Callithrix jacchus: one gene and its partners. The main gene of each other region encodes a partner of the protein of the gene in region 4 in a complex. Links are inferred from orthologs where the notes say so. Each region holds a gene or a part of one and is shown on either strand. Other genes may lie near its edges.

Region 1 (4,290 bases), on a different chromosome or scaffold from region 4:
GATAAACAGAAAAGCAGGGAAATTCAACAAGGAAGCCTTCAAAGTTATCAGTGGGATCAGATGTATTACCAATAGCCACTACTTTCTTGAACTAGCTCCAGGTACCATGAACAAATGATGACCAAGTCAGGGATATGACAGGTAGTACAAAATTCCATCTAAATACAGGTGGACAATAAATTGAAAATATTATTCAAGTTAAGGCATGGGCATATGAAATATAAAATGTGTCACTGTGTTGTCTTTTGGGTGGTCTCAGGTACAAGCCACTGTAGGTCGCTCAACAATGTACGAGCACTGGGAAGGAAAGCTAACTTCTTTTTTTTTTCTTGAGACAAAGTCTCATTTTGTCCTCTAAGCTACAGGGCAGTGGAGTGATGTCAGCTCACTGCAACCTCTGCCTCCAGGGTTCGAGTGATTCTTGTGCCTCAGCCTGCCTAGTAACTGGGGCTACAAGCTAATACTTTTTGTATTTTTAGTGGAGATGGGGTTTCACCATGTTGACCAGGCTGGTCTCTAACTTCTGACCTCAAGTGATCCACCCTCCTCAGCCTCCCAAAGTGCTGGGAATACAGGTGTGAGTCATCGCGCCCCACCAGGAGTGTTAACTTCTAAAAATTCAGCAGCTGGGAAAGCTAACAGAGCTAAGAAAGCTGGCTTACAAAAAACAATTAAGTAGTCTAGGAAGTGTCAGAACTTCAAAAAGTGAGTGAAGATAACCTATCCAAAGCATAATAATAAATACTAGCTGGCCACGGATCAAATACTTTGGAGCAAGGAGGGCATCAAACCTGATTCTGAGGGCAGGGGAAGGACTAACCATAGTATGTCCCTAAAGGATGGGCTAAATCACAAGTTCTCAAACTAACTGGCATGAGAATCACTGAAATGCTTTGGAAAAACAAACAAACAAAAATAAAATCGTTGGGCCTCCATTTCCACGTTTCTGATTCAACAGAACTGGGGTGAAGCCCAGTAATTTGCATTGCTAACAAGCTTCAAGGAGATGATGCTGCTGATTCAGAACACATTTTTGGAAGCACGAGACCAGGATATTAGATCAAAGTTCTTGGCCTTTAACTTATAACCAAGACAGTCTCAGAGCCGCAGTCAACTGAGTTGGGAAAGACTCCATAAAAGTGACATGGACACTTAAAACTGGAAGGACATTTAAGGTGGAAAGGCAACATTCAGAACCAGAGAACAAGAATAGAGGCACAGAGAGAACTCATCAACTATATCATCGTAGTAATTTACAATAATATAAAGCGAACACAGTGTATCCGGCACTGTGCTGAGTGCCTCATCAGCATTAGTTTTCTTTAAACTCCAAAAAAGACAATCCAATGAGGCAGATGAGGTAATAACACAATACCTGCCTCATTGGATTGTTTTCAGATGATGAAGCTGACACTAAAGACCTTAGATAACTTGCTTCATGTGACAGACCTAATAATTGCTGAATAAAATTGAAATATTTGGTCTATCAGGCCCAACACAAGTGAGTTTCCTCCTCCTACTGATACTGCCTGTTACAATGCTTATCCTGGTCAAAACCACACTTTGAATGCAAATTTTCAATCTGCCCTTCCATAGTAGGATAATTTATGTTAACTTGAATTTCCAAGCAATCCTAAATACAGGTAAGAGTTAGGTTAACTGATCTGCTGAGGACAAAGTTTGCTTGTTTATCTATTTGGAGTCTCTGCACACTTAAAAATGCAAAAAAAACGCTTAGCGAATTCTTGCATCTAAAATAGCCTTTCTCCAAATCCTGCCTTCTCCACTTACCTCAAAAGAATTGTGAAGATTAAGTAGAAACAGGTACCGCGGTTTCTGCAGTTAAACTCAGTGAAATTAACTATTATATTTCCATTACATAATGCTGCACTGTAGGACCCAAGGCTCGTTAGAGAGGTGGAGCCTGGAAAGCCAAGTTTGGCAGTTACTACCTCACTAGAGCTGGATAAAGTATGACAGATAGATGAAGAGAACACAGGAGAAATGAAGCGTCTTCGAGACTAAACGCTAGAACTTATCAGTATTTACAGGACAAATAAATGAAGAAGAAACCACTAATGAAATTTCACACAAATAGTCAAAAGGATTTAAGGCCGGAAAAGACATAAGAGTGCAAGCACTTCAACTTTTAATCAACTACAGCTCATTAATCCCACTCCCTTGGCGCGGGGATCTGGGCACTAGTAAAGGGGCTTTCCCAAGCCCAACTGACTCCAGAGGCTCTAAGTACAAAACACACTGTACACGAAACAACAGCACCAGGATTGGTGCAGGACTTCAGATAGCTCCAAGAACCTCACAAGGAAGGTCGGCCGGTCTGCGCAGGCAGTGAGTGAGTTAACACAGCCCATTCCCTCACCACCGGCTCGGACTCCTCGGCCCCAGCCGCTCTCACACCCCCCTCGCGGGCCAGTGCCCGGCGGAAAGAGAGCCACGCGCACTCCAATGATGCTCACAGCTGTACCAGTGAGCCCGCACCCACTCCTGGGCCTCTTTCACTTCCCACCCGATCCAGCGACCCGCCACCCCCTCTCCGGTTCGCTGCCTGCGGGGACTCCACCGACTTCAGATAATTACCTAGAGCTCCACCGCGCCGCCATTACACCGGACGTACGTCACTTCCTTTTCCCGACCACCGACAGTAGGAAGAATGCGGATAGTGAAATACATAAAAACTTGAGGCTCAATCGGCTTGACACGTTATCCTTTTAATTTATTTCAAATAGCATATCATAATACCAGAGTCAAAGTGGTCGACCCAGGCACACTGTCTTCTTATCAAAATGGCGACAAAAAAGAGAAGTTGACATGACCTACAAAGTCCGAAATCCAGCGCCTAAGTTGACGGAAATGACGAAAGCGGAATTGTAGTTTAGCATGGAATGGCGCGGTGTAAGATGGGAATTGTAGTTCATACAGTTGGGCGCCTACGAGTAACATCCAAGGTGCTCACTGGCAGCCTAATAGTGTTTAGAGTCTAGCCGAATTTACTTTAATCTAAAACTATTTCTCTGCATTTAGGGGACATTTTTTTTAAAGCAGTCAGTTGTCACTTTTCCGTGAAAATATTAAGAGATTTTCCTGAGACTTTATAATAGAGTTTGACCAAGAGCCTAATAAGCAAAAATGTTACCAAATATTAAGTGCCTAATAAATTCCAAGACGTCCAGACCAAGAGAATGGGAGAATATTACATCATACATAGAGTAAATAATGAGGAAAAACTAATTCTGTAGAGAAGACGTTGCCTCTCTTTTAGGTTAAGGTACCAACTGGTATGAGCTGAGAGTAAGGAGACTGCCTGGCTGAGTGGGAAGCAGTTTGTACAGAGTGCAGAACTTGGGCATTGAACAAACTGTTTCTTTAAACTTCACTTTTCGCTAGTAACAAAACCTAAAACTTCAACTACTTGCTCTTTTGGAAACTCTCTTCCTCAAACAAGAATATCTTTATATTTTCAAACCTTTCATAAACCAGGCCTGGTTTTTCCACACACTTCTCTATTACAATTTTAGAGTGCTGTGCTTCCGCTCCTTTCTGGAGGCAGAGTGTGATGATTAAGAATAAAAACACTGCAGTTGGACCACATATGTTTGAGTCATGAGTTCTTTGATTATTTATGGATCACTGGGGCAAATAACTTCACATTCTGTGCCCATTACCTGATTTGTTAAATGGAAATACTAATATTACCCACCCATTAAGTAGTTTTTAGAATTGAATTAGTTGATTCACATAATGCATTTAAGATAATTGCTGGTATACAATAGTGTTAACTGTTTTATTTCATATTTAAGATATTTGGCCATTGTTCATGGCGCATTTTGGTGTACCAATACAGAGCACAGGAGACGGATCTGGAGATGAACATTTGTATTCATATATTTAAAAATCCACAATACTACCTGTGATGGTTAATTCTGAATTTCAACTTGATTGGATTGAAGGATGTAAAATATTGATCCTGGGTGTGTCTGTGAGTGTGTTGCCAGAGAAGATTAACATTTGAGTCAGTGGACTGGGAAAGACAGACCCAGCCTTAATCTAGTGGGCACAATCTAATCAGCTGCCAACAAATATAAAGCAGGCAGTAAAACATGAAAAGGTGAGACTAGGCGAGACTGGCCTAGCCTCCCAGTATACATCTTTCTCCCATGCTGGATGCTTCCTACCCTCAAACATTGGACTTCAGTTGTGAGATTCAGACTGGCTCTCCTAGCTTCACAAGCTTGCAGACAGCCTATTGTGGGACCTTGTGACCATGTAAGT
Region 2 (4,395 bases), on a different chromosome or scaffold from region 4:
ACTTTGGGAGGCCAAGGCAGGTGGATCATTTGAGGTCAGGAGTTCAAGACCAGCCTGGACAACATGGTGAAACTCCGTCCCTACAAATATACAAAAAAAAATAATTAGGCACGATGGCGGGTGCCTGTAATCCCAGCTAATGGGGAAGCTGAGGCAGGAAAATTGCTTGAACCCAGGAGGCAGAGATTGCAGTGAGCCAAGATCACTCCATTGCACTCAAGCCTGGGCAACAAAGCAAGACTCCATCTCAAAAAAAAAAAAAAGAGAACCTTGCTTCATTTCAAAATCCTGACAGCCCCAAAGACACATACCACAGGCAAATCTCCATCATCTTCCTCTTCCTCCTTTTCTGGTTTAGTTGTGGAGATAGCTGTCCAGCTCACATCATCATCCACAATCCGCATTCTAAATGAGAAGAAGAAGATGATCAAAGTCATTGTAGGATATCAGCCTAAAACCACTCGTCTACTGGTTTTAAAATAAAGTTCAAAATCCTACAGGATCCTGCATGGTCCAGTCTTTGTCTACATGGGTGAATTTCATCTCGTACCACTATTTCCTTGGTTGAACACCTCCCTGGGTCATCCTTTGGTGCCTAGAAAGGAGCCAAGTTCCTACCACATCAGTTTTCACATATGCAGTTCCTTCCCTCTGCCTGATCTACTCTTCTCAATCTTTTTCTTTCTTGAGACAGGGTCTCACACTGTTGCCCAGGCTGGAGCGCAGGGGCATGATCACAGCTCACTGCAGCCTTGACTTCCCGGGCTCAAGTTATTCTCCCCACTCAGTCTTCCAAGTACCTGGGACTACAGGCACGTGCCACCATGCCTGACTACTTCTTTGTATTTTTTGTAGAAACAGGGTTTCACCATGTTGCCCAGACTGGTCTCAAACTCCCAGATGCAAGCAATCTACCCGTCTTGGCCTCCCAAAGTGGTAGGAAACTCTTTCTCATAATTCAGTTCCTAACGCAAATTTAACTTCCTTTGGCAAACCTTTCTTGACTCCTTCCTCCCCCTAACCTCCCCAGCCCACACTAACTCAAGACTAAGAACCCTCGTTAAAAACTCTTGGAATACTTTCATTGTGTTTATCCTAAAGGAAATATATTAATTACTTGTGTTATTACTTAATGCCTGTATTCCCATTTAACTATAAGCCTACAAGAACAGGGCCTATATCTTATTTGTTCAGAGGCATCCTCAACACCCTACAGTAACTGGAAGAGGAAGTATGCTATAAATGTTTGGTACAGGGATAAACTATAGTTAAGCCCAAATAATAGCAACGACTGCCATGACGTGAAGTCATTCAAAAAGCCAAGGTCACTGAATGCAATCCCGCTAATCACAACCACCACCACCTAATATAAGCATTACTATTCAGTATTATTCTCATTTTAAAGATAAGGAAACTGCAGCTCAGTGAGATGAAACACCTTGCCCAAGGGCACACAGCCTACAAAGTGGCACCGCTAGGATTTGAACTCTCATCAGTGCTGCTCCAAGGCTCAAGCTACTTTCATCACACGGCACTGCCCCTAAAGGATCCACACGAGCCAGCGACGCAGAAAGACAGAAGACAGAAGAAAATGGGCTAGTTCTTTGGAACAATGTGACTTCGCTGGGTATCTTAGTGCCTTAGGGTTGCTTAACAAAGTACCACAAATTGGGTGGCATAAAACAACAGAAACTCTCACAGTTCTGGAAGCTAGCAGTCTGAAATCCAGGGGTCTGCAAGGCCAATCTCCCTGGAAAGTCTCTAGGGGAGAATCTCTCCTGTTCCAGCTTCTGGTAGCCCCAGGTATATCTTGGCTTTTGGCAGCATAAATCCAATTCAATCTCAGCTTTCATCTAGACATGCTCGTTTTTTTCTTTGTTGCTGTGTCTGTGTCCACACTTCCCTCTTCTTAAAAGGAAAACAGTCATCTTGGATTGGGCACCCACCTTAATCAAGTATGGCCTCATCTTATTGATGACATCTCCAAAGGCCCTAATTTTAAATGTCACATTCTGTGGTTCTGGGTGGAAACGATTTGGTAGGTCCCACTACAGAGGGCCACAATGTTTTCCCATTTGAAAGTAATACCCACTTCATGGTACTGTCGTGAGGCTTAAATAAACTCATATATGTTTAAATTTCTTATAATGTTGCCTGGCAAGGAAAGCATAATGAGAAGAACGACACAAATGTCAGCTGCTCTTGTTAGCAGGACTATTACTAAGAGTAACAGGAGGTGATCGAAGGTCTCTGATTCAGAACCAAGTCCTTGGGATTTGGGAACCCCCACAGGCAGGTGCCGGGCCCTAAAGATCCAAGCACAGGCTTTGAATCCGCTCCATTATTCTCGGGGCACAATACTCATTCCCTACGGGAGAGAGGACGAAAGTCTACCAAGGCGGGAAAAGAGTCATCAAAGTTACAGCCCGGCTTTAATGCACTGACGCTAATGATCAGAGGCTCGAGGTGTAAGCGGGGCGGCAGAGGCAAGGCGGGGGCCTCACGCGGTGCGAGTGGGGCCCTGGGTCTGAGCAGGGGCCGGCGCAGCAGCCAAGAGACCCGCCAGGAGGGAAGGCAAGGCCCGGCGGCCGAGGGTGGAGTTGGGAAGGGTGAGAGGGGGGCGAGTCGTCGCAGGCCCCGCCCCGGCCGGTACCAACTCACCCCTTGCCGCCGGCCCCACCAGGCTTCGGCCGCTTTTTGCGGCGCTTGCGGCCGGACTCAGGCCCCCGGTCGACGCCGGCATCTGCCCCGGACAAATAACGCTTCAGATACTCGGCCTTGGAAAGCGGCGGAGCTGCCGCCATGGCAGCGGCGGGGGCGGAGAGACGGCTCGGCGCTGGGGACAAAATGCCTCAACGCGTAGCGCGCGCCAGCCACCTGAGGAAGTGGGGCCAAGGCCGGAAGTGGCGGAGCGTGCTGAGAATGACGCGGCTGGCAGGTGCAGCCGCCGGGGGCGCGCTCGCAGACTAGCCGGAGATGTGCACAGCTTCGGGCGCCCTGGGACGACGCCACCAGGCATCTTCTCTTCATCCACCCACCCACCCATCCATCCATCCAACCGCCACAGGCGCTGTTCTGGCCAGGAGGCCACAACCTGACCCAACAAGACCCCGCCCCCAGCGTCTGCCTAAGCTCCACAGCAAGGGCAAGAAAGTGGAGAGCCACGGGCTGCAGCGTAGCGGAACTTGAATACTGGTTCCATACATAGCCAGCTAGCTGTGCGACCTCGGGCGAGTTATCGCAAAACGGGGAGAATCCCGGCACCTAACTCGGAATGGTCACAGGCTGAGATGACACTACTGTGTGCAGTGCGCAGAGCGTTTGGGCACATGGTCATCGGAACTATGTTCGTTATTTTTTTCCCCTTTTTTTGTGGAGAACGGGGTCTCGATATGTCGCCCAGGCAGGTCTCGCTATTTTTATACGTATCTTCAAGTGGGAAGAATCTGCTCCACTAGGCTTCCAGATACCTGCTGTTCGAGAAAGGAAGCCAGGAAGTGCAAACCAACACAATTACTATGAAAAACGTGGTTTCTAAGACCTCTGTAAACTTGTTAACTTGTAATACAACCGACCCCCCCAGTTATCTCTTGAAAAATATATTTACTTCAAGAGATAACGGGGAGGGGAACTTGTAATACAACATTAGAAAATACATAGCATTGATAAAATATTGCCAGTGAAAAGGACCTGAATATATTTTCAGCATAGCAAAAGAAAGAAACCAGAGAGAATGAATTCTAACACTCCAGTTTTGGGAGGAAAGAAAAGACTTTCTTCTTTGCAGGAGGTTAAGAGCAAATTAAATTAACTTATTTAATCCTCACAATTCTCAAATTGTTTCATTGCCATATTTTACAAATAGGGACTGAAAGTTGGCAGGATTAAGGAAGCTGTTCAACTTCACATGGCCAGAACATGACTCGGGAGTAGAGGCTAGCAAAGTGGGGTGCAAGAGGCCATCCAAATTTCTTGAAATATAACATCTTTTTACCTCATCATGTTAGATTTTTGTCACTTTTTTATCGTTTTTCCCCAGCCTTATGAGGTTATTTGTCAAATAAAAATTCTATGTATTCAAAGTGTACGGTGTGATGATTGGGTATACGTACACATTGTGTAATGATTACCAAAATCGAATTAATTAAAACATCCTTTACTAGACTTACTTATGTACTACTTGGGGGGGGCACTTAAGCAAATCTGCCTTAGCAAATTTCAAATAAACAATAGGAATGATTAGTACAGTCAGCATGTTGTACATTAGATCCCAGGAACTTGCCTTTAAACTGGATATTTGTACCATTTGAGAGAGAAGTTTTAGTGTTACTGAAATCACAGCCTTCTGACAGAATTTGTGGATACTATGCACAACAGAAGTGCAGACAATAGTTT
Region 3 (4,424 bases), on a different chromosome or scaffold from region 4:
AAATCCCACAGACATCCCCTAAGCAGAAACCAGGGTTAAGTACAGAGTAGTCCTGCAACACTTCGGTTGCAAGGCCTTCGGTGACCCTTTCTGGGCCTGGGATTTTGACACCATCGGCTCTGTTGTTTCTCAGCTGCTGTTTTCTGAAGTCTCAGTTGCCTCACCACATTATCATCGGGGAAAGTGTGGTCTACCTAGAACATAAACTTCCTAGGCCCTGTGTTCCAGTGGGGGTTTCGGTGTTTAGGACAGAGTCCCTTTCCCCTCTGTAGTGTTGGGTGTTCATTAATCACTCTTGAAGAGGTAAGGGGCTGGGCCTCAGCCTCCCCAGAGGCCATCAGTGGAGAAGGGTCTCGCTGACCTCAGATCGTGGGCATTTCCACGGCACACCATCCCTCCCAGTACGCTCTAGCAATAGGAAGGCTGGGAACGCCACCCAAAGCCACACCGTTTTTGCGGTCTGTGTATTTGGACGCCTCCCCAGCACCCAGTCAACGAGTTTCTTTTTCCACAGCAGTCAGTCACTCTCGTGCAGTGTCAGTGATTTATTGGTGTTTCAGCTAACCCGGTTACTCTCCATTTCAGCCATCAAGGTCTAGGGAGCCACTCCATTCCGAGGAGCCCTCAGCCAGCCTCCTTCCTGGTCAGCTCCTCCACTTTGGCCACGTAGGCCCTCATGGCGTCCATCCTGGACAGCCCTTGGTTCGCAGTCCACGCCTCCCACTTGGCCTTGGCTTTCAGGTCAGAGGCGGGAGGCGCGGGGAGGTGGCAGTCGCCCCGGGTGGCCTGCTTGTACCAGCCGTAGAGCAGCAGCTTGTCCTGGTCGCTCAGGGGGCCCTTCAGCTGCTTGAGGGCGGTGCGCGCCAGCTCGAACTCCACTTGGCACATGGGGCGGGAGGCGGCCGGGCCTTTCCGGGCGATCCGGGTGCTGGAGGCCGGAGGTGGGGAGGTAAAAAGGCCGGCGTCAGACCTCCAACTCGGGGGCAGGGGACGGGCGGCGCGTGGAAGAACACGCAGAGTCTGTATTTTCTTCTCCGCGACTGCAGGCCCGGGAGCCAGTGTCTGGGTCTGTCCACGATGTTTCTGTGGAGGAGCAGACGTGAGAAGCGCCTCCGGTCCCAAACGCGGCCGTCCCAAGGGGGCGGCGCGGCAGCGGCGCGCACAGAGTGCGAGCGTAGGACGAGCTGGGCGGGAGGAAGCCGCGCGTGGGGAGGCCGCGCTGGGTGGGGGCGGACAGTGTGCGGGACGCGCCCGGGGTCACCGGATGAGGGTGAATGCGGAGCCGGGGCTCAAGCCGGACGCACTGGGACCCGGAGGCAGGCCCGGGAGCAACGCCCGATACCTGACGGACGGGAGGCCTCTGCGAGGAGGCGGTGCTGTGGCTCTGCGCGCTCCTCCGTGAGGACTGCGCTTGCGCGGGGGGCTATGGGCGGGGACTGAGCACGGCCGCCGTGGCGCCTGCGCCGCCCATTGTGCCGTGCGTTCGTCGCCGCGCCCGCGTTCTCTGAGAGGGAGAGCCAACCCCGCGCAACCGCCCGCGTCGCTACCATGGACCTAGGTGGGTGCCGCGCTCCCTGCCCGGGCTGCGTCCCTCCACGCGTCAGCAGGGCGGTGCTCCCTGGCGCGTCTCCTCCCGCTGCGCGCACTGATGGGCCCAGGCGGAACGTCCTCCGCGTCGGGGCGGGTCTGGGGTTCCGGGTGGCTTTGGCTGGGGACCCGGGCCCGGCCTCGGGAGTCGCGCCGCGGAGTGAGGGTGGAACCCTCTGGGCCGGCGCACGTGCTATGGAAGCGCGGCTCCTTCAGCGCCCGGACTGCCGCGCTCCTGAAAGGCGCGTGTCTCCTGTCGTCCGGCTTCGTCTCGGCGGAGCGGGAGGGGGACGGTGCGTCTGCCCCCGAGGGCTGCGCGACTCTCCACGGAGGCCGCGGGCGTCCAGGTCCCGCGCAGAGTTGCCGGGGCGGCTGCGCGCCTCGGAACCGGAGTGGTCGGGGCCAGGCCCGGAACACGGAGCAGGTGGGCGGGCGTCCGGAGAGCTGGGGCCGCGGCGCTTCGGCACCAGCTCTCGGGAGCGGAATGGCGTCCGGGCACCCTGAGAAAAGCGTTTCTGCAGCTTCGTGTTCGGGCCTTGAGCGGGAACGGCGTTGTCAAGGTGGTCGTGATGCGTGAGGTCTCGCATGTGACCCGGCGCGGGGCTGGCGCGGTGAGCGCGGAACCACCCGGTAGCCCTAGCTCTTGGCTCTGGCGCGCGCTGGGCGCCGTTCCTGACCGAGCGCCGGCGGGTTTTCCAGCCGTCACTGCCCTGGCGCTACTGCTGCAAATGCGGCGGACTGCCTGCGTTTGGAAGGCGCGCGTGGATGGCCAGACATTGGCCCAAAGAAGCTGATAACGCAGTAAAATTAAATTTGCAGCGCTAGGGGGGGCCGCATTTTGGGGTTTGGGCGAGCCTCCTGACGGTAACCCTAGCGAGATCCCTCTGCAGCCTCGGCCTCAGCCACTGTGAGCTGAGGTGGATTTTCTCCGCAAATGGGTTACATGGGAGTGCTGAGCGCTGGGCCTGTGGCTGCTCCCACACATGGTGGCAAGGGCAAGACAGTCCTTAGTCTCCTGGAATCCGTGTTATCTCTGCTGATGTCTGGCCTGTAAAATGGAGACTGAGCTCTCAGGGGCATGAGAGACTGAGGAAGAAGCATCTCTTGGTCCTAGAAAAGGGAGAGGACTCAGGAGTGGGGAATAGTGAGCAGTGTCTATCCTGGGAAAGGGAGAAGACTAGGGAGTGAGGAATGGTGAGCATTGTCCCGATCCTGGGAAAAGGAGAGGACTCAGAAGTGAGGAAAAGTGAGCAATGCTTGTACCCTCGTTTTACTTCCTGGGCCAAAGGAAACATACCTGATAAAAACCTATGTCCTTTGATGTTTCTGAGCTGGGGCAGGCAAAGAACAGTGACAGGGTTTTGATCCTGCCAATGATGAGAAGGTTTGGGGAAACCAACATTGACTGAGCCCTGATCAGGCTCTGTAACCTGATTCTTAGTGTAGCTGTATCACATTTATCCATCACAGCGTCTCCAGGAGATGGGGTCAGGAGATAGCAGTACTAACCCACTACCAGGGGCTTGACTGGTATGCATCATATAATCCTCAGAGTCGTAACAAGAAGTCTGTATTATCCCCAAAGCTGCAGAAGGAAGGCTTGGAGAAGCAATCTGACCATGATCACATCCCTTACCCACCCCCCTTTTTTTAGGGGTCTGGGGGGGTCTCACTATGTTACCTTAGCTAGTTTTGAACTCCTGACCTCAGGGATCCACCTGCCTCAGCCCCCCAAGTAGCTGGGATTAGAAGTGCTAGCCACTGCACCCCTGGCCAGAATCACATTACTTTTAAATGGCTGATCTAGGAATCAAACCTATGTTTGATTAAACATCCCAAGATGTAAGTCTGTCAGTTATTCCTTCTCTGCAGGAAGGACTTAATTTAATGAAGTATTTTCTGTATCTACTCCCTGGTTTCTCCCACAGAGCCTGGGCCATGAGTAGCTTGTCTTTGGAAGGAGCTGTGGGGTGGACTGTTTCCCTGAAAGGTAGAACAATGTTTGAAGCCTGCTCCCAAGGCAAGGTTATGAAGGGCGAAGGCAGGGCTTGTCTGATTGCTTCTGTGCCCATTACCTGTGGCCATGTGATTGCTTCAGTGCTCATTACGCTATGGCTGTGTGATGGCTGCTGTGCCGTTACCCTGTGTCTGTGTGATGGCTGCTATGCCCATTACCCTGTGGCTGTGATTGCTGTTGTGCCGTCACTCTGTGGCTGTGCCCATTACCCTGTGAATGTGTGATTGCAGCTGTGCCCATTACCCTGTGGCTGTGTGATTGCTGCTGTGCTGTTACTCTGTGGCTGCATGATTGTGGCTGTCCTCATTACCCTGTGGCTGTGTGATTATCACTCTTCCCCCTTCATCTGTCATGAGAAACTCAGCTGTCATGTCCTGTGGTACATGCTCAATAGCTCTGTCGTTTGTACTGTCCTCGTGCTATTTCTGAACCTCTCTCCCCACATCCTCCTCTGGCCCATCCTTTGCTGAAGGGTTTGCCCTCAGCAGCCCAGCTTGTTCTTTTTACTTTTCCTGAGGGATCTCATTCTCTCTTGGTTCCGGTGATCCCCTTCTGGGCACATGCCTCTCAGAGTCACATTTCCCAGCTGACTTACCCCCTGAACTTCCACCCGGCATTGCAACTGCTGAAGGACATCTCCTCGATAGCCAAAATCCAGAATCACATTTCCCAGCTGGCTTTTCTCTTCAACTTGCATGGGGCATTTCCACTGCTGGAGAACATCTGTGCCTTGATAGCCAAAATCAAGCTTGTCTCTTCTCAAACCTGTTCCGATTCTCCTCCTTCCCTGTATGTGACGCCACCCGGGGTCCTCCCAGTT
Region 4 (4,228 bases):
CACTCAATTCCAAATCCATCTCTTCAGGGCTGCAAAAAAGCCTCACTTCCCAAAGGGCGAGTTCTCCAAACACTGCATTTAGCATTTCGGATCCGGGTGAGTTGAACTCACTAGGATTACGAGAAAAACTAGTGAAATTCAGATACGACCATTAACATCGAAAGTTTTAATCCGTGAAATACTGCTTACGCCCTTAAGTAATTTCAAATGCACATAAGATGGCCATGCGGGTCTCTGCTGGAGATGCAAAAGAAAGGTGAGCAAACTTAATCAATTATGGCTTTCAGATTTTAGTTAATGGAGGAAATAGCAAGTTTCCACTTGTCATAATTACAGGCATCACTATCATTCTATCATTATTCTAGCACTAATGAAAGACCTCAAGAACATATAAAGCAGCAGTAAAGGGTGCTAAGAAATGACAGTGTGGTCACGTCAACTTGCCCCATGTTACATCCAGGGTGTCAGGGTTCAAACCAGGTCTGTCTGGCTCTAGAACAATTGTTCTCTGCTACCTCCAAATCCTGTGTATATGTTTTCACTAAACTATTTTGTTGTTTATAGATCTGAATTGGAAGCTGTTGAGTACCCTGAACTTAGCAACTAACTGATATAAAGGTATCCCTTATAGAAATCTCAAACTAATTCTTCATTCCTTTCAGGAAGAAGAGTCTTAAGAATATGCATTATAAAACATGTTTCAATAAAGTTATTGAAAAAGAAAAAGAAAGGTGGGAAGTTGGCGGGGGGGCATAACACTGTATACTAGACGCAACCTGACATCGTTTGAAAGAAATTCTGTCCCCTACTCCCTTCGGTGAGATTCGCCGTCCCTAATCTAGTCTGGCTACCCCACACTCCCGATTCCTTTAAAAGGGGTTGAAATGGATGTTGCATTAAAGAAAACCCTCCTGCAGAAAGGACCTGAGGCAGAGACTCCCCTGAATTCTGGAACATGTTGGAAGAGTGAGAAAGGAACTCTGGGACTCCGAACTTATTCTCACGGGTGTAAAAGGACAGAGTAAATCCCCATTAGCCAAGCTGGGGAGAAGTCACATCCGCACATTCTAAAGGGCACACAGCCTCTCCCGGACCGTCCCTAGAAGAGGGGCAGCACATTTAGAAACACTGGCGGGCCTCTAGTCCTTGGCTGCCTCGCGGCGACCCTCAGAGCGGGTTTCCCAAGGCTCAAGCTCCTCTGGCAAGGCGCAAATCGACACCACTGCTGGTTGCTAGGAGATACTGCCCCGCCACCTCCTCCAATCAGCACGCATCTCTTTGCGTCCAATCACAAAGGCCAGAAGGGCCGTGGTGGGAGGTGAAAGGTCATACTCTTGTTTGGCGGCCATTTCTCTTGAAGCTCGGCGGTTCGGGACTTCGGGATCGGCTGGAGTCACGAGGGACGAGCGGCGGCCTGGTTGGCAGCGAATAGCCTGCAGCATTCGCCCGTGGTTACGATGGTAAGGAGAAAGAGAACCGGGGGAGAAGCGGGGAGAAAGAGGAGGGAAACCAGTCTCGCGGGGCCTGATGGTTGCTTCGCGCGTTTCTCATTCATCCGCGTGAGGCGCCGCGCACCCGGTCGCCAGCTCCTTTCACGCTGCCCTTGGGGTTTCTGAGGCGCGTGCTCCTCCCGTTGCCTTTCTGTTTCTAGGAGTGCCCGTGCTGTCTCCTCTTTGTTTGAATCCGAGCCTGGGGTATTTTTGGTTGGGGCTTCAGGGTCGGCGTAAAACTGAAAGAGAGTGCACTTCTCACTTCTCTCCAAAATTCACTTTAATTCCTTGAAAGTAATATTACAGCCATGCTCTAGATTAACTCAGTCGGGTGGGGAAGACAGACCTTAGTCAAAAACCAACAAATATGCAATTGCAAATAACAAGTGCTAAGAAGCATGTAGACCGGAGGCTGTGAGGGTGCACGTTAGACATTACAGGCTTAGTCAGAGATGGCCTCCCTAGGAGGTGGAATTTAACCAGAGACCTAAGTGTCCTGAAATACCACCCTTTAAAGAGCAGGAGGAGTGTACCGAGCACAGGGAATAGGAGCGTAAGACCTGCAGCCGGAAAGAAAGCTTGGTCAGTTGGAGAAATTGACAGAAAGGTACAGCCACTTGCAAGAATGGTGGCTTCTAATTCAATTAGAAGCCATTGAATCATTTTAAGCAGACATATGACATAATTTTATGTGCACTTTGAAAAATAACAGTTGCCGTGGTGGATAATAAATTGGAGAATGTAAACTGGAGATCCATTAGGTTATTGGAGTAGCACCATGCCAAGATCACTCCCAATATGCTTATCTTAGTTTAGTAGCCAAGTTTCTTAGTTCTGTTTTTTCTTTGACTGGTGAGTGAGCAGATTAGGGCCCAAAAAAGTCTGAATTCACTGGAGATGCTAATGGTTTGTTGAATAAACAAACATTAAGTGATTGCTGTAAAGTCAGATAGGACCTAGCCCTACCTTCCACAGTTAAAGACTGTCAAGTGTGATCTGCCCTCTGCTTCCTTCTGCAGTCTTATATTAGGGGCTTTGACTGACAATGCTGAATTCTTTGTATATCCCCAAAATCATGTTGTTCTCTTCCCTCCTTTTACTTAAGTTGCTACCCTTGCCTGGAGCAGCATCTGCCCCCCCCCCGGAAATAAACTCTTATCCTTTAAAACTGAGATATTACTTAAGGCAACCTTTCCTTTTCTGTGGATTGCTGTGGTACCCTTGTGCCTAGCATATCTCCTCTTACTACATTGCAGTATGCAATATAATTATTTGTATGTGAGGAGCTCCCCTCCCTATCTCCAGCTTCTTGACAGGGACTGTTACTTGTTTATTTATTTTTAAGAGACAAAGTGTTGCTCTTGCCCAGGCTGGAGTGCAGTGGCTTGATCATAGCTCACTGCAGCCTTGAACTCCTGGGTTCAAGCAGTTCCCCCACCTTATCCTCCCTAGTAGCTGGGACTACAAGTGTGTACCATCACACCTAATTATTTTTGGTAGGAATTGGGGGGGGTCTCCCTATGTTGCCTGGGTTGGTCTTGAACTCCTGGCTTCAGGTGATTTCCGTGCCTTGGCCTTCCAGAGTGCTGGAATTACAGACACGTGCCTGGCCAGCATTTTTTTTTTTTTAGTGGCTTTATCTTTGCTTCTTTCAAGCTCAGAACAGTGAGTGATGTAGGTAGTCAGTGTTATCTTAAGTGAATAGTGAGTATTTTGTTTTGATGGGTTAAAGGTGAAACTGGCTAACTGGATATTTAAATTTCCCTGGTACTCATCTTCAACAAATAAAAGTGAAAATTATGTTTTCTTCATTTGCACACCAGAAAATATTGGTGATTTGGTAGAAGGGATTTGGTGGTGGGAGGAAAAGAATTAATTGGATCCTTTTTTGTTCTTTGTGCAGAGTTTACCCCTTAATCCCAAACCTTTCCTCAATGGACTAACAGGAAAGCCAGTGATGGTGAAACTTAAGTGGGGGATGGAGTACAAGGGCTACCTGGTATCTGTAGATGGCTACATGAACATGCAGGTAAGCTGTAAAGGTTATAACATGGCATTGATTTTGCTTCACCTTATTCCTCAAAGGTTTAGTCTGACTAATAAGAATACATACAATTAAGTTGACAAATATATGGCAAAATTCAAAAATAAAGTCAAGGCCAGAGAGGATACCGTGATGTACTAGGTACAAGACATGGGCTTAAACCGGAATTCAGCCACAGATTTTATTCCTAGGAGTTAAAGTAAGAAGAGCTCAGACGTTCAATTCATAATAATACCATAAGGGAAACACGCTACTTTGCTGGAGAAAACAAAACTTTTACCATCATTTAGCCCTGAAAGAAAGTTTTCAAGTGAAATTTTTGAGTCTTTTAATGAATGCTAAAGGTACAACACCAAGCTATTAAAGAAATTCATTCCTTCAAGGGAAAGACAGATCTGCCAAAGGAATTGAACTGACTGTATGTCAGTTTCTGTAAATGATTTAGCCATGTGTTTTGGTAGGGTTTTTTGTAATTTTCTTTTTATTGTGGTCAAACATACATTAAAATTTTACCATTCTAACCATTTTTAAATGTGTAATTCAGTGGCATTAAGTATCTTCACACTGTTCTGCAACCATCACCACTATCCATTTCCAGAACTTTTTTTATCATCCCAAAGTGAAATTCTTTGCCCATTAAACAATAATTTTCCATTCCTTTCTCTACCTAACTAACCCCTGGTAACCACTATTC
Region 5 (3,632 bases), on a different chromosome or scaffold from region 4:
TGTGAGGACCCCAGCCCTGCACACTCACATCTTACCCTCGATGTGAGGACCCCAGCCCTGCACACTCACATCTTACCCTCGATGTGAGGACCCCAGCCCTGCACACTCACATCTTACCCTCGATGTGAGGACCCCAGCCCTGCACACTCACATCTTATCCTCGATGTGAGGACCCCAGCCCTGCACACTCACATCTTATCCTCGATGTGAGGACCCCAGCCCTGCACACTCACATCTTACCCTCGATGTGAGGACCCCAGCCCTGCACACTCACATCTTACCCTCGATGTGAGGACCCCAGCCCTGCACACTCACATCTTACCCTCGATGTGAGGACCCCAGCCCTGCACACTCACATCTTACCCTCGATGTGAGGACCCCAGCCCTGCACACTCACATCTTACCCTCGATGTGAGGACCCCAGCCCTGCACACTCACATCTTATCCTCGATGTGAGGACCCCAGCCCTGCACACTCACATCTTATCCTCGATGTGAGGACCCCAGCCCTGCACACTCACATCTTATCCTCGATGCAGTACACGGCTGAGGGCAGAGACTTGTTGGGGGCCTTCACTCGGGCCACCTTCTGCACTGTGGTCTCCAGTAGCCCTAGGGATGGAGGGGTTGTGAGACTCCAGGCTGCCCAACCCTGTGAGAGGCGCCGCTCCAGGGCCTCCTGAGAAAGTGAAATGGGCCCTGTGGGGTGCACCTCCCTCTCCTTGCCTCTGGAAAGCCATCAGGCCAATTCTAAAGCAAAGATGCAGAAATGAGCCCCTTGCCACGGGCCACTGGCCAAGGAAATGGCAGAGCTGGGGTCCTAACATCAGGGCTTCTCTGCTACAGCTGTAACAGTTTCAACTCCCCTCTCCTTCCTGGAGCAGATATGGAGCCTCGTAAGGCAGAGACAGATGCCAGGGGGAGAAGGAGCGGCTCTGGGCCGGGCAGCTGGCTCCAGCATAGGGAATGAAAGAGGCAACAGAGGGGACGGAGGCAACCCTGCCTGCACCTGCTGCACCGAAGCCCCCACAAGCCCTTTTCCTGCCCAAGTGCCCAAGTCCACCCAAGCCACAGCTGCCCTGAGTTCCCTACCTTTGTTCTGACACAGGAGCAGGGCAGCTGCCAGCCCCCTATTCACGATCGGCTCCTCGTCCAGGATGGTGGTGGAGGAAGCAGAGAACTGGGGGGCACGTGGCAGGGTTGGTTAGCAAGCCACACCGCCTCTTCTCACCCCCACCCATCAGTCACCCCCTGCCGGGCACCAGCCACAGCGTTTAACTTCATTTCCTCAGGTATACTCAGATCACGCTGGGAGGAATGCAGAGCGCACTGTGATGAGGAGGCTGAGGACACCGAGTAACGTGCCTGGGCACTCATCTCCAGCTCGACCCTCCCGCCCCCATGCCCCCGCCCCCCACCCCGTGGTGACAGTGCGGCCCTCACATCCTGCTGCTGCTTCTCCTCGTCCAGGTTCACCGTACTCCAGCCAATGTTCTCCTCCCCATCAGATTCAGAGCCGCCGTTGGCCGAGCGCTCTTCGTCCTGTTCAAAGTCCTGGGGCACAAAAGACCAGGGTCAGCCCAGCCCCCAGCCCCCAGCCAGCCTACCCAGCCAAGCGAAGCCCAGGGTGGGGCTGCCCCAGACGCACCATGAGCTCCTCCTGCTCCTCGCGGTTGCCGGCCAGCCCGTAGGTGGGGATCTCCCCCAAGGTGCGGCAGAACTCAGATGTGGCGTTGAACACAATGGCCCCCTTTCGCTCAGGATCCTCATCCTCCTCCCAGCCCCGCTGGCGAGACTCCAGCTTCTTCACAATCTCCACCACCTGGGGGAGGGAGTAGCTGTGGGCAAACCCAGCAGTTTCTGGGGTGATGCCATTGAGACCCAGGAACCCAAGGGTCCTCCCTGGCAGCAGCAAGACAGGCCACACCCACAGCCCATGTGGGTCCTGGCTGATCTCTGCCTCCTGACTCCACTCTACACCTATTTCACTGGGGTCACTCTTCTGCTCCCATCAATGGGTTTGGCTGCCCTTTGAATGAACACCCAACACCCTACAGGGCCTTCCTGACCAGGCCTGTGCCAACCCTGCTCCAAAGCCCCTGGCACACTACCTCAGCCTCAAGCACCTTCCTCCAGGGTCCCTCCTGCCACCAGCCCCTCCCACAACAAACTCCAGTTTCAAGACTCTGTAGGCAGCACTTCTAGAACCCACAGGGCGGTGAGGTGGCCCACTCTTTTGACTTCCCACAGCCCAGCTTCTTGCTTCCCACTTCACCAAGAAAGCAGGTGCCATGACATGCTAAGAGAACCCACTCGTGCTACCAGCACTAAATCCAGGACCCCCACATGGGCACCAGCACCCTCTGCTTTCCCTCCTTTTGTAGATGCCCGGCCACACACACACTTGCCCACTAGCTCTCCTCTTTAAAAAACTCCTCCCTCAACCCCGAAGCCCTGACAGCAAACTCCTCAGTGAAGCCTCGATTGCCATGTCCACTTCTGCACCCTCTTTCATTTTAAAAAAATCTCCTGAGGCGAGTGGATTGTCTGAGTTCGGGAGTTTGAGACCAGCCTGGGCAACATGCCCAAATCCCATCTCTACAAAAAAATATAAAAATTAGCTTATAGTCCCAGCTACTTGGGAGGCTGAGGTGGGAGGACTGCTTGAGTCTGGGAGATCGAGACTGCAGTGAGCCAAGATCATAGCACTGCACTCAAAGTGTGGGCAACAGAGTGAAACCCTGTCTCAAAAAAAAAAATTCTTCCAGGGGCCAGCTGCAGTGGCTCACATCTATAATCCTAGCACTTTAGGAAGCCAAGGCTGGAGGATCACTTGAGCCCAGAAGTTCAAGACCAGCCTAGACAGTAAGGTGAAACCCCATCTCTACAAAAACTATAAACATCAACCAGGCATGGTGGTGTATGCCTGCAGTCTCAGCTACTTGGGAGGCTGGAGTGGGAGGATCCCTTAAGCCTGGAGGTCAGGCTGTGGTAGGCCGTGATCTTGCCACTGCACTCCAGCCGGGCAACAGAGCAAGACCCTGTCTCAAAAATACATATATATTCCAGGACATCCTGGAACACTTATTTTTTAATGAACTTCATCGTAAACAGAAAAGGGGGTATATCTAACTCAGCAGATGCTATTAATTTATTTATTTATGTTCTCTTTTTTTTTCTACATGAGATTTTGTTCTGTTGACCCAGATATTTATTTATTTTTTGAGATAGTCTCACTGTCACCCATGCTGGAACACAATGGTGTGATCTTGGCTCACTGCAACCTCTGCCTCCTGGGTTGAAGGGATTCTCCTGCCTCAGCCTCCTGAGTAGCTGGGACTACAGGTGCACGCCACAACGCCCAGCTAGTTTTTGTGTTTTTAGTAGAGACAGGAATTCACCATGTTGCCCAGGCTGGTCTCGAACCCCTGACTTCAAGTGATCCGCCCGCCTCAGCCTGCCAAAGTGCTGGGATTACAGACCTGAGCCACCACACCCAGCTGATATGCTTTTTTTCTTTTTTTTTGAGACGGAGTTTCGCTCTTGTTACCCAGGCTAGAGTGCAATGGCGCGATCTCGGCTCACTGCAACCTCTGCCTCCTGGGTTCAGGCAATTCTCCTGCCTCAGCCTCC
Region 6 (3,632 bases), on a different chromosome or scaffold from region 4:
GCCAAATTTTGTCACTAAAGCAGACCTGTCCAACTGGTGTGTCATAGCATGTACACCTAAATATTAATACACTCAGCTCTCAGGGCAGCCAGGTGAGGCCTGGGCAATTGTACCAGCAGCCTCATCACTTTACCCCAGGGCATCATATAAATATCTTCCTGTTCTACATGGTCCACAAAATGAAAAAGACTAGGAAACACTACTACCTCAAAGCACAAGCATCAGGGAAGACTGTGAGATTTAGATGCACAATTAACTACCCTTGATCTGTAACATAAGTTTACAGTGAAACATGCCCTAGGAAGGTCTGGCAACTAGAAGGAATTCTTGATATCTAGCTTAATGCTACAACTGCTTTCCCGACACAGTCATTAGGAGGCAAAGCCAGACCAACAGTTTGGCGAGAGGAAGGAATAGAGAAAAGGAAACTTTCTTTTTTCTTAAGCCCTCACACCTTGCTCTAGCCACACCACACTGGAACAGTAGGCTCACACTGATTATTGCGCTATGAATCACAACTCTACAGGTGAACAACAATAAAAAATTAACCCCTCTGATCAGGTTCAGTGGCACTTTGGGAGGCCGAGGAGGGTGGATCACTTGAGGTCAGGAGTTCAAGACCAGCCTGCCCAAATTGGTGAAGCCCTGTCTCTACTAAAAACACAAAAAATTAGCTGGGCATGGTGGTGCGTGCCTGTAATCTCAGCTACTCCAGAGGCTGAGGCAGGAGAATTGCCTGAACCCAGGAGGCGGAGGTTGTGGTGAGCCGAGATCGCGCCATTGCACTCCAGCCTGGGTAACAAGAGAGAAACTTCGTCTCAAAAAAAAAAAAAAAAAAGAAAAAGAAAGGTAAAAAACAGAGGCCTGGAGGGGAGGCAGGCCTGGTACCTATGCTCCTGGGGAGACAATTTGTTAACAGATGGGAAAAAGAAGCAAGTCCTGCAGGGCCACAAGTCAACAGAATTATTTCCTGGAATCTCTTTTTGACCAGTGTCTCCACACCTCTGCAGCCCCTGCAACACACCAAGCTGACGAGTGCTGCCCCGGTGTCCATGGCAACCAGGTAGAAAACGAAACCCCTATACAAGGGGAAAAAATGTCCAACCAACCTGCTTAGTAAGTACACTCACCTTGATCCCATTAAAATTGTCAACGGCCAGAATTGTGCTCCTCTGGTCTTCATAGCAGAGAAAACAAAATCCTTTGGACTTCCCAGTCTTCTTGTCCCGCACGAGATTAATGTTAACAATCTCCCCATATCTATTTATTTTATAAAAGAGTAAGACACTATTGACTTAAAAGGCAAAAACATGCAGATAAGGTAATAAAACAAAATTCAAATAATACAGTATGTACAAGAGATACATCTAGAACGAGATGATACAGAAAGGTCATGACAAAGAAAAAGTCAGACAAGAACAGGAGTACCCAATTAAAAAACAGGCACTAATATCAAGAGCAAAGGCTAATTCAAGGCCACAATAAAAAATGAAACTAAGAAGATTATTTTACACTGAAAAAGGCCTAAATACAAAACAAAGGTATAAGTCAGGAAAACTTTAGGTCAATTAAGAAATCAAAATTTTTAATTAAAAAAGCTATCAGAAATGCAAAGAAAAACTAATAGCAAAAGTTATGGAAGAATTTAACAAATCACTTTGAAGTTTATCATGCACAAAGTGGACAGAAATAAGATCAGATTAATTAATATACATAATTACTATAACAATTATACAAACAAATATTAATGTAATTAGATACATAGATATCTTTGAATCCTACAAGATGACAGTTTCAAGAATTCATGAAGATTGTACTAAAATAGACTATGGATTAGGTCTCAATGTAAACCTCAATAATTATACTCCAAAAAACAGACAGACCTAAAGCTGGAAATGATATTTTAAATAAAAAACACCTTACCTAACTAGAACTTGAAAGCTACTCTCTTAATAACTGGATGAAAGAGAAGATGAAGCAAAATATTTTTTTTAAAATGGCAGACTATTTAGAAAATAGCAAAAATGAGAAGAATATATACCAAAACTTATGAAATGTACCTAACATCATAGGAAAATTTGTAACTTTAAAATAATTTTATTGTGAACAAAAAGGATGAATATAAAGGAAGAAAGCAACCCTAATGAAAGCAGATGGGAGCTAATAAAGATAAAGGCAGAAATTTGGCTAGGCATGGTGGCTCATGCCTGTAATCCCAGAACTTTGGGAGACCAAGATGGGAGGATTGTTTGAGGCCAGCAATTTGAGACCAGCCTGAGCAACAGAACAAGACCCTGTCTCTAAAAAAAAAAAAAAACCAAATAGATAAAAAGGCAGAATTAAATAGAAAAAAAAAAGGCCAGGCATGGTGGCTCACACCTATAATATGTAATACCAGCACTTTGGGAGGCAGGAGTATTGTTTGAGGCCAGTAGTTCAAGACAGACTGGGCAACAGAACAAGATCCTATTTCCAAAAAAAACAAGCAAACAAAAAAAGATCAGGCATAGTGGCTCACACATGTAATACCAGCACTTAGGGAGGCCAAGGCCAGAGGATCACTTGATGCCAGGAGTTTGAGACAAGCTGGACAATACAGCAAGACCCCTGTTTCTACAAAATAATAAGTTTTTTAATTAGCCAGGCATGGTAGTGTTCACTTGTAGTCCCAGCCACTCAGGAGGGTGAATGGGGAGAATCACTTGAGCCCAGGAGTTCAAGGCTGCAGTGAGCTAGGATCATGCCACTACACTGTGACCTGAGCGAGAGAGTGGGACTCTGTCTCAAAAAAGAAAAAACATTAGGAATAAAAGACTACCTTACTCCTTGCAGCAAGATAAATTCCAGATAAGTTAGAGGTTTATAAATTTAAAAATAAAGTCATAAAAATAAAACGGGAATTGACAGGTATGTTACATAATCACATACATACACTTCAGCCCAAAATCTAGCAATCTACTTAATGAGAAATACTAGAGCTGATTCAAGTAAGTTTAGAAACTATTTAATACTAAAATGAAGGTATAGGCCAATGCAATTAGGTAAAACAGATATAAGAAATGAAAAAAAGGAAGTAAAATTATCCTTTTGTAGATTACATATGATAGTATACATGGAAAACCCAGAGAATCCATGATAAACAATGATTAAAAACAGAGCGTAACAATTCAGTAAAGCAACAAGATATAAAGTTAAAAATCAATCACTCTGTTATACAGAAACAATAATCAGAAGAAATGATAAAAGGGAAATCGTATTTATCATAGCAAAAAAAGACAAAGTACTTAGAAATATACTTATCAACAAAAAATGTACAAAGCCCATATAAAGAAAACTATTTTAAAATTCCCAAAAGTCACAAACATAGATTTGAACAAATATGAAGGTATCCCTTGTTCTTGGACAGGATGACTCACTATCATAAGGTATCAAAATCTTCTCCCGAGTTAATGTAAATTTAATATAATTCCAATAACAATACCAGTTTGGTTTCTTTCCTGAAAGCTGAATAAGTTAATTCTAAAATTCTTATGGAAAAAAGAACATGTAAAAATAGCTGGGAAAACTCTTAATGAGAACAATGAGGGGGAGTAACTCTTATCAGATATCAGACAGACTGAAATTACTAGTGT
Region 7 (3,632 bases), on a different chromosome or scaffold from region 4:
TATATATATATATATTTTTGAGATGGAGTGTTGCTCTGTCGCCCAGGCTAGTGTACAGTGGCACAATCTCAGCTCACTGTAACCTCTGCCTACTGGGTTCAAGTGATTCTCCTGCCTCAGCCTCCTGAGTAGCTGGGATTATGGGTGCCTGCCACCATGCCCACCTAATTTTTGTATTTTCAGTAGAGATGGGGTTTCACCATATTGGTCAGGCTGGTCTCGAACTCCTGACCTTGTGATCTGCCTGCCTTGGCCTCCCAAAATGCTGGGAATACAGGCGTGAGCCACCGGATTTTGAGTACCTCATATAAGTGGAATCATACAGTGTATGTCTTTTTGTGACTGGCGTATTTCACTCAGCATAATGTCCTTCCTTTGTAAGGCTGAATGACATTCCATCTGCCACATTTTGCTTAGCTGTTCATCTGTCAGTGGATACTTAGGTTGCTGCCATATTTTGGGTATTATGAGTAATGCTGCTATGAACATTGGCATGCACATATTTCACAATGTATTTCAGACCCTGCTTTCAATTCTTTTGGGTGTATACCCAGATGTGGAAGTGCTGGATCCTGTGGTAATTCTATCTTAAATTTTTTGAGGAACTGTTGCCAGACGGTTTTCCACAGTGGCTGCATCAGTTTGCATTCCCAGCAACAGGGCACAGGGTTCCACTTTCTCTGCATCCTCCTCAGCACTTGTCTGTTTCTTTGATAGCCTAATGGCTATGAAGTGCTATTTCACTGTAGTTTTGATTTGCATTCCCCTAATGATCAGATGTTGAGCATCATTTTCTGTGCTTACTGGCTTTTCAGAGAAATGTCTATTCAAGTTCTTTGCCCATCCTTTAATTAGGTTATCTTTTATTATACTTTTGTCTTTTATTAAAAAATTTTTTTAAATTTAAACTTTTGCCCGTGACACAGCCCTCAGGAGGTCCTGAGAACATGTGCCCCTGCCTGGGTAACTTTTATCTCATTTTATAAATAAAATTCCCTTGTCACCTGGGTTTTTAAAAATGCAATTTTTTGTGTGTGTGTGGAGACAGGGTCTTACTGTCAACAGGCTGGTGTGAGTGGCACGAACAAATCTCACTACAGCCTTGAACTCCTGGGCTCAAGTGATCCTCCCATCTCAGCCTCCTGAGTAGCTGGGACTACAAATGCATACCACCACACCCGGCTAATTTTAAAAAATTAATTTTTCTAGAGATAGGGTCTCAATATGTTGCCTAGGATGAACTTGAGCTCCTGGTCTCAAGTGATCCTCCTGCCTCAGCCTCCTAAGTAGCTAGGAATACAGGTGTGAGCCACCATGCCTTGCTCTGCCATCTGGCTCTGTATCTCTCATCTTTAAATACAGAAACCAACTGGGCATGGTGGGTCATGCCTGTAATCCCAGCACTTTGGGAGGCTGAGGTGGAAGGATCATTTTGAGGCCAAGAGTTCAAGACTAGCTTGGGCAACATAGTAAGACACCCATCTCTAGAAAAAAATTTTAATAAACTTAGCTGGGTGTGGTGGCACAAGCTACTTGGGAGGTTGAGGTGAGAGGATTGCTTGAGCCTAGGAATTTTAACGCTGCAGTGAGCTATGGTTATGCCACTGTACTCCAGCTTGGATGACAGGGTAAGACCTGTCTTAAAAAAAAAAAAAAAAAGGCACACCTAAAAGCTGCCTAGGGTATAGAGTAGCTTACTATACAAGTGACTCAAATCTGACTCATGGATTTCAATGGGAGTACTTTTGGAGGGACTTCAAAGCTTCTTAGTTTAATTTTTTTAAAGTTAGTAGTAACAGCTATAAGTTTATTGATTATACTAGTTACTATGTTCTACACCCTGTGCTAAGGAATATAATCAAAATGCATTCAGCATAATAGCCAAGTAATAAGCGCCTGTACTCCCACCTGGCAGAGCAGTTATTTGAACCTGGGAAGCAGAGGTTGCAGTGAGCTGAGATTGTGCCACTGCACTCCAGCCTGGGTGACAGAGCAAGACTCCATTACAAAACAAAACAACACAACACAACACAAAACAAAACAAAAATTGTTACTCACTACAAACCTCAGCAAAGTACCCGGTAAGAAAGCAAATTCAGCTCTATAGTGACTGGTGACTGGATCCTTCCACCTGGCCTCTACTTTCTTTTCTTTTTTTTTTTTTTGAGACAGAGTCTTGTTCTGTCGCCCAGGTTGGAGTGCAGTGCTGTGAGCCTGGCTCACTGCAGCTTCTGCCTCCAATGGAAGTGATTAGGAAGTGACAGGATTCCGATTATTTGGGACTTTTCTCAGTTCAACGTGAAGTTTTACATACTACCCTTTGTGTGTTTTGTTATAGTATAGGACCACTGAAAAACAGTGTTTTTCAATAATGATGCAGTAATGCAACTTCACATTTTACATGATTGATTTTTTGGGGGGAATCTACTTAGCACACAATGGTAAGATTTTATTGTACTATTAATACTAACAATATATATAATTTGTTTCATTCTCAAAACCACCAAAGGTAGGAGCTGGTATCCCCATTTGTAGATGAGGAAACTAAAGCTCAGAGACATTAAGAAACTTGCCTGAGTTCACTTAACTGGGTAAGGGTTAGAATTCACATCTGACCCCCAAAGCCTGCGTCTTAGTTATTACATTTTGCTGCTTTCAAGTGACTTGATCAGTAGCACCATGTACTAATTCTGACCTAAATACATGAGAATCCAACAGGGTTATTTTCCTTTTTTAAATTTTTTTTGGAGACAGGGACTTGCTCTGTCACCCAGGATGTAGTACAGATATGCAACCATAGCTCACTGTTGTAGACTTGACCTCCTGGGCTCAAGTGATCCTTCTGTCTTAGCCTCCTAAGTGGCTGGGACTACAGGGTATGTTCCACCACACCTGGCTTTTTTTTTTTTTAGATGCTTTCTTGCTCTGTTCTCTGGGCTGCATTGGTATGATCTTGGCTCACTGCAACCTCTGCTGCCCAGGTTCAAGTGATTCTCTGACCTCAGCCTCCCAAGTAGCTGGGATTATAGGCCTGTGCCACCACACCCAGCCAATGTTTGTATTTTTAGTAGAGACAGGGTTTCACCATGTTGGCCAGGTTGGTCTTGAACTCCTGACTTCAAGTAATACACCCACCTCGGCCTCCCAAAGTGCTGCGATTACAGGCATGATCCACTTGCACTTGGCCTTTTTTTTTTTTTTTTTGTAGAGACAGGGTCTTGCTTTGTTGCCCAGGCTGGCCATGAACTCCACGGCCAAGTGATCCTCCTGCTTCAGCCTCCCAAAGTGCTGGGATTACAGGCGTGAGCCCCTGTTCCTAGGCAGCAGGGTTATTTTTCATTCTGTCTTGTACTTGCCTCAGTACTTACCACTGGCTCTGAGAACTGGAGAGAGGCTCTGCTTCTAGGTCCGGTTCACTCTTATCAGGACCATTTGCTGTGGATTTACAGAGTTGACTCTTCTGGTGTTGGCGGATCATTTCTGCCAAGGTCTCTTGGACTTCAGCAACAGTTCTCTGTGAGTTTTGGAGACTGGCATGCTTTTCTGAAAGGAGCGCCTTAAATGTGCTCAGTATTCGCTCACCTTCTTTTGTGAGTCTCAAGTCTAGTTCTGAAGGCCTGCTTGGCTCTGGC

What was found.
Region 1: SNRPF (region 4) and CWC22 share a complex: the UniProt entries of both Homo sapiens proteins name them as parts of the minor spliceosome. The link is inferred for Callithrix jacchus from reciprocal best matches to the Homo sapiens genes SNRPF and CWC22.
Region 2: SNRPF (region 4) and BUD13 share a complex: the UniProt entries of both Homo sapiens proteins name them as parts of the minor spliceosome. The link is inferred for Callithrix jacchus from reciprocal best matches to the Homo sapiens genes SNRPF and BUD13.
Region 3: SNRPF (region 4) and GEMIN4 share a complex: the UniProt entries of both Homo sapiens proteins name them as parts of the SMN-Sm complex. The link is inferred for Callithrix jacchus from reciprocal best matches to the Homo sapiens genes SNRPF and GEMIN4.
Region 5: SNRPF (region 4) and SART1 share a complex: the UniProt entries of both Homo sapiens proteins name them as parts of the U4/U6-U5 tri-snRNP complex. The link is inferred for Callithrix jacchus from reciprocal best matches to the Homo sapiens genes SNRPF and SART1.
Region 6: SNRPF (region 4) and RBMX2 share a complex: the UniProt entries of both Homo sapiens proteins name them as parts of the minor spliceosome. The link is inferred for Callithrix jacchus from reciprocal best matches to the Homo sapiens genes SNRPF and RBMX2.
Region 7: SNRPF (region 4) and GEMIN5 share a complex: the UniProt entries of both Homo sapiens proteins name them as parts of the SMN-Sm complex. The link is inferred for Callithrix jacchus from reciprocal best matches to the Homo sapiens genes SNRPF and GEMIN5.

What each region holds. Positions count from the first base shown.
Region 1 is NC_133507.1:49,008,370-49,012,659, reverse strand, and holds the start of CWC22 (pre-mRNA-splicing factor CWC22 homolog), read right to left. Parts: upstream 2,810-4,290; 5' UTR 2,599-2,809; exon of another isoform or gene 1,792-2,598; intron 1-1,791. UniProt on the Homo sapiens protein: Required for pre-mRNA splicing as component of the spliceosome. As a component of the minor spliceosome, involved in the splicing of U12-type introns in pre-mRNAs. Promotes exon-junction complex (EJC) assembly.
Region 2 is NC_133511.1:16,412,402-16,416,796, forward strand, and holds the start of BUD13 (BUD13 homolog), read right to left. Parts: upstream 2,828-4,395; 5' UTR 2,805-2,827; coding exon 2,662-2,804; intron 406-2,661; coding exon 312-405; intron 81-311; exon of another isoform or gene 1-80. UniProt on the Homo sapiens protein: Involved in pre-mRNA splicing as component of the activated spliceosome. As a component of the minor spliceosome, involved in the splicing of U12-type introns in pre-mRNAs.
Region 3 is NC_133506.1:63,629,980-63,634,403, forward strand, and holds the start of GEMIN4 (gem-associated protein 4), read left to right. Parts: upstream 1-1,548; coding exon 1,549-2,011; exon of another isoform or gene 2,012-3,474; coding exon of another isoform or gene 3,475-3,607; exon of another isoform or gene 3,608-4,424. Other genes in the region: diazepam-binding inhibitor-like 5, read right to left, coding at 625-888; uncharacterized protein LOC118153659, read right to left, coding at 965-1,083, 1,343-1,550. UniProt on the Homo sapiens protein: The SMN complex catalyzes the assembly of small nuclear ribonucleoproteins (snRNPs), the building blocks of the spliceosome, and thereby plays an important role in the splicing of cellular pre-mRNAs.
Region 4 is NC_133510.1:98,939,089-98,943,316, forward strand, and holds the start of SNRPF (small nuclear ribonucleoprotein F), read left to right. Parts: upstream 1-1,328; 5' UTR 1,329-1,457; coding exon 1,458-1,460; intron 1,461-3,393; coding exon 3,394-3,519; intron 3,520-4,228. UniProt on the Homo sapiens protein: Plays a role in pre-mRNA splicing as a core component of the spliceosomal U1, U2, U4 and U5 small nuclear ribonucleoproteins (snRNPs), the building blocks of the spliceosome.
Region 5 is NC_133511.1:123,052,712-123,056,343, reverse strand, and holds part of SART1 (U4/U6.U5 tri-snRNP-associated protein 1), read right to left. Parts: intron 1,822-3,632; coding exon 1,648-1,821; intron 1,554-1,647; coding exon 1,443-1,553; intron 1,180-1,442; coding exon 1,092-1,179; intron 612-1,091; coding exon 521-611; intron 1-520. UniProt on the Homo sapiens protein: Plays a role in mRNA splicing as a component of the U4/U6-U5 tri-snRNP, one of the building blocks of the spliceosome. May also bind to DNA.
Region 6 is NC_133524.1:126,051,316-126,054,947, reverse strand, and holds part of RBMX2 (RNA-binding motif protein, X-linked 2), read right to left. Parts: intron 1,261-3,632; coding exon 1,131-1,260; intron 1-1,130. UniProt on the Homo sapiens protein: Involved in pre-mRNA splicing as component of the activated spliceosome. As a component of the minor spliceosome, involved in the splicing of U12-type introns in pre-mRNAs.
Region 7 is NC_133503.1:54,099,092-54,102,723, forward strand, and holds part of GEMIN5 (gem-associated protein 5), read right to left. Parts: coding exon 3,369-3,632; intron 1-3,368. UniProt on the Homo sapiens protein: The SMN complex catalyzes the assembly of small nuclear ribonucleoproteins (snRNPs), the building blocks of the spliceosome, and thereby plays an important role in the splicing of cellular pre-mRNAs.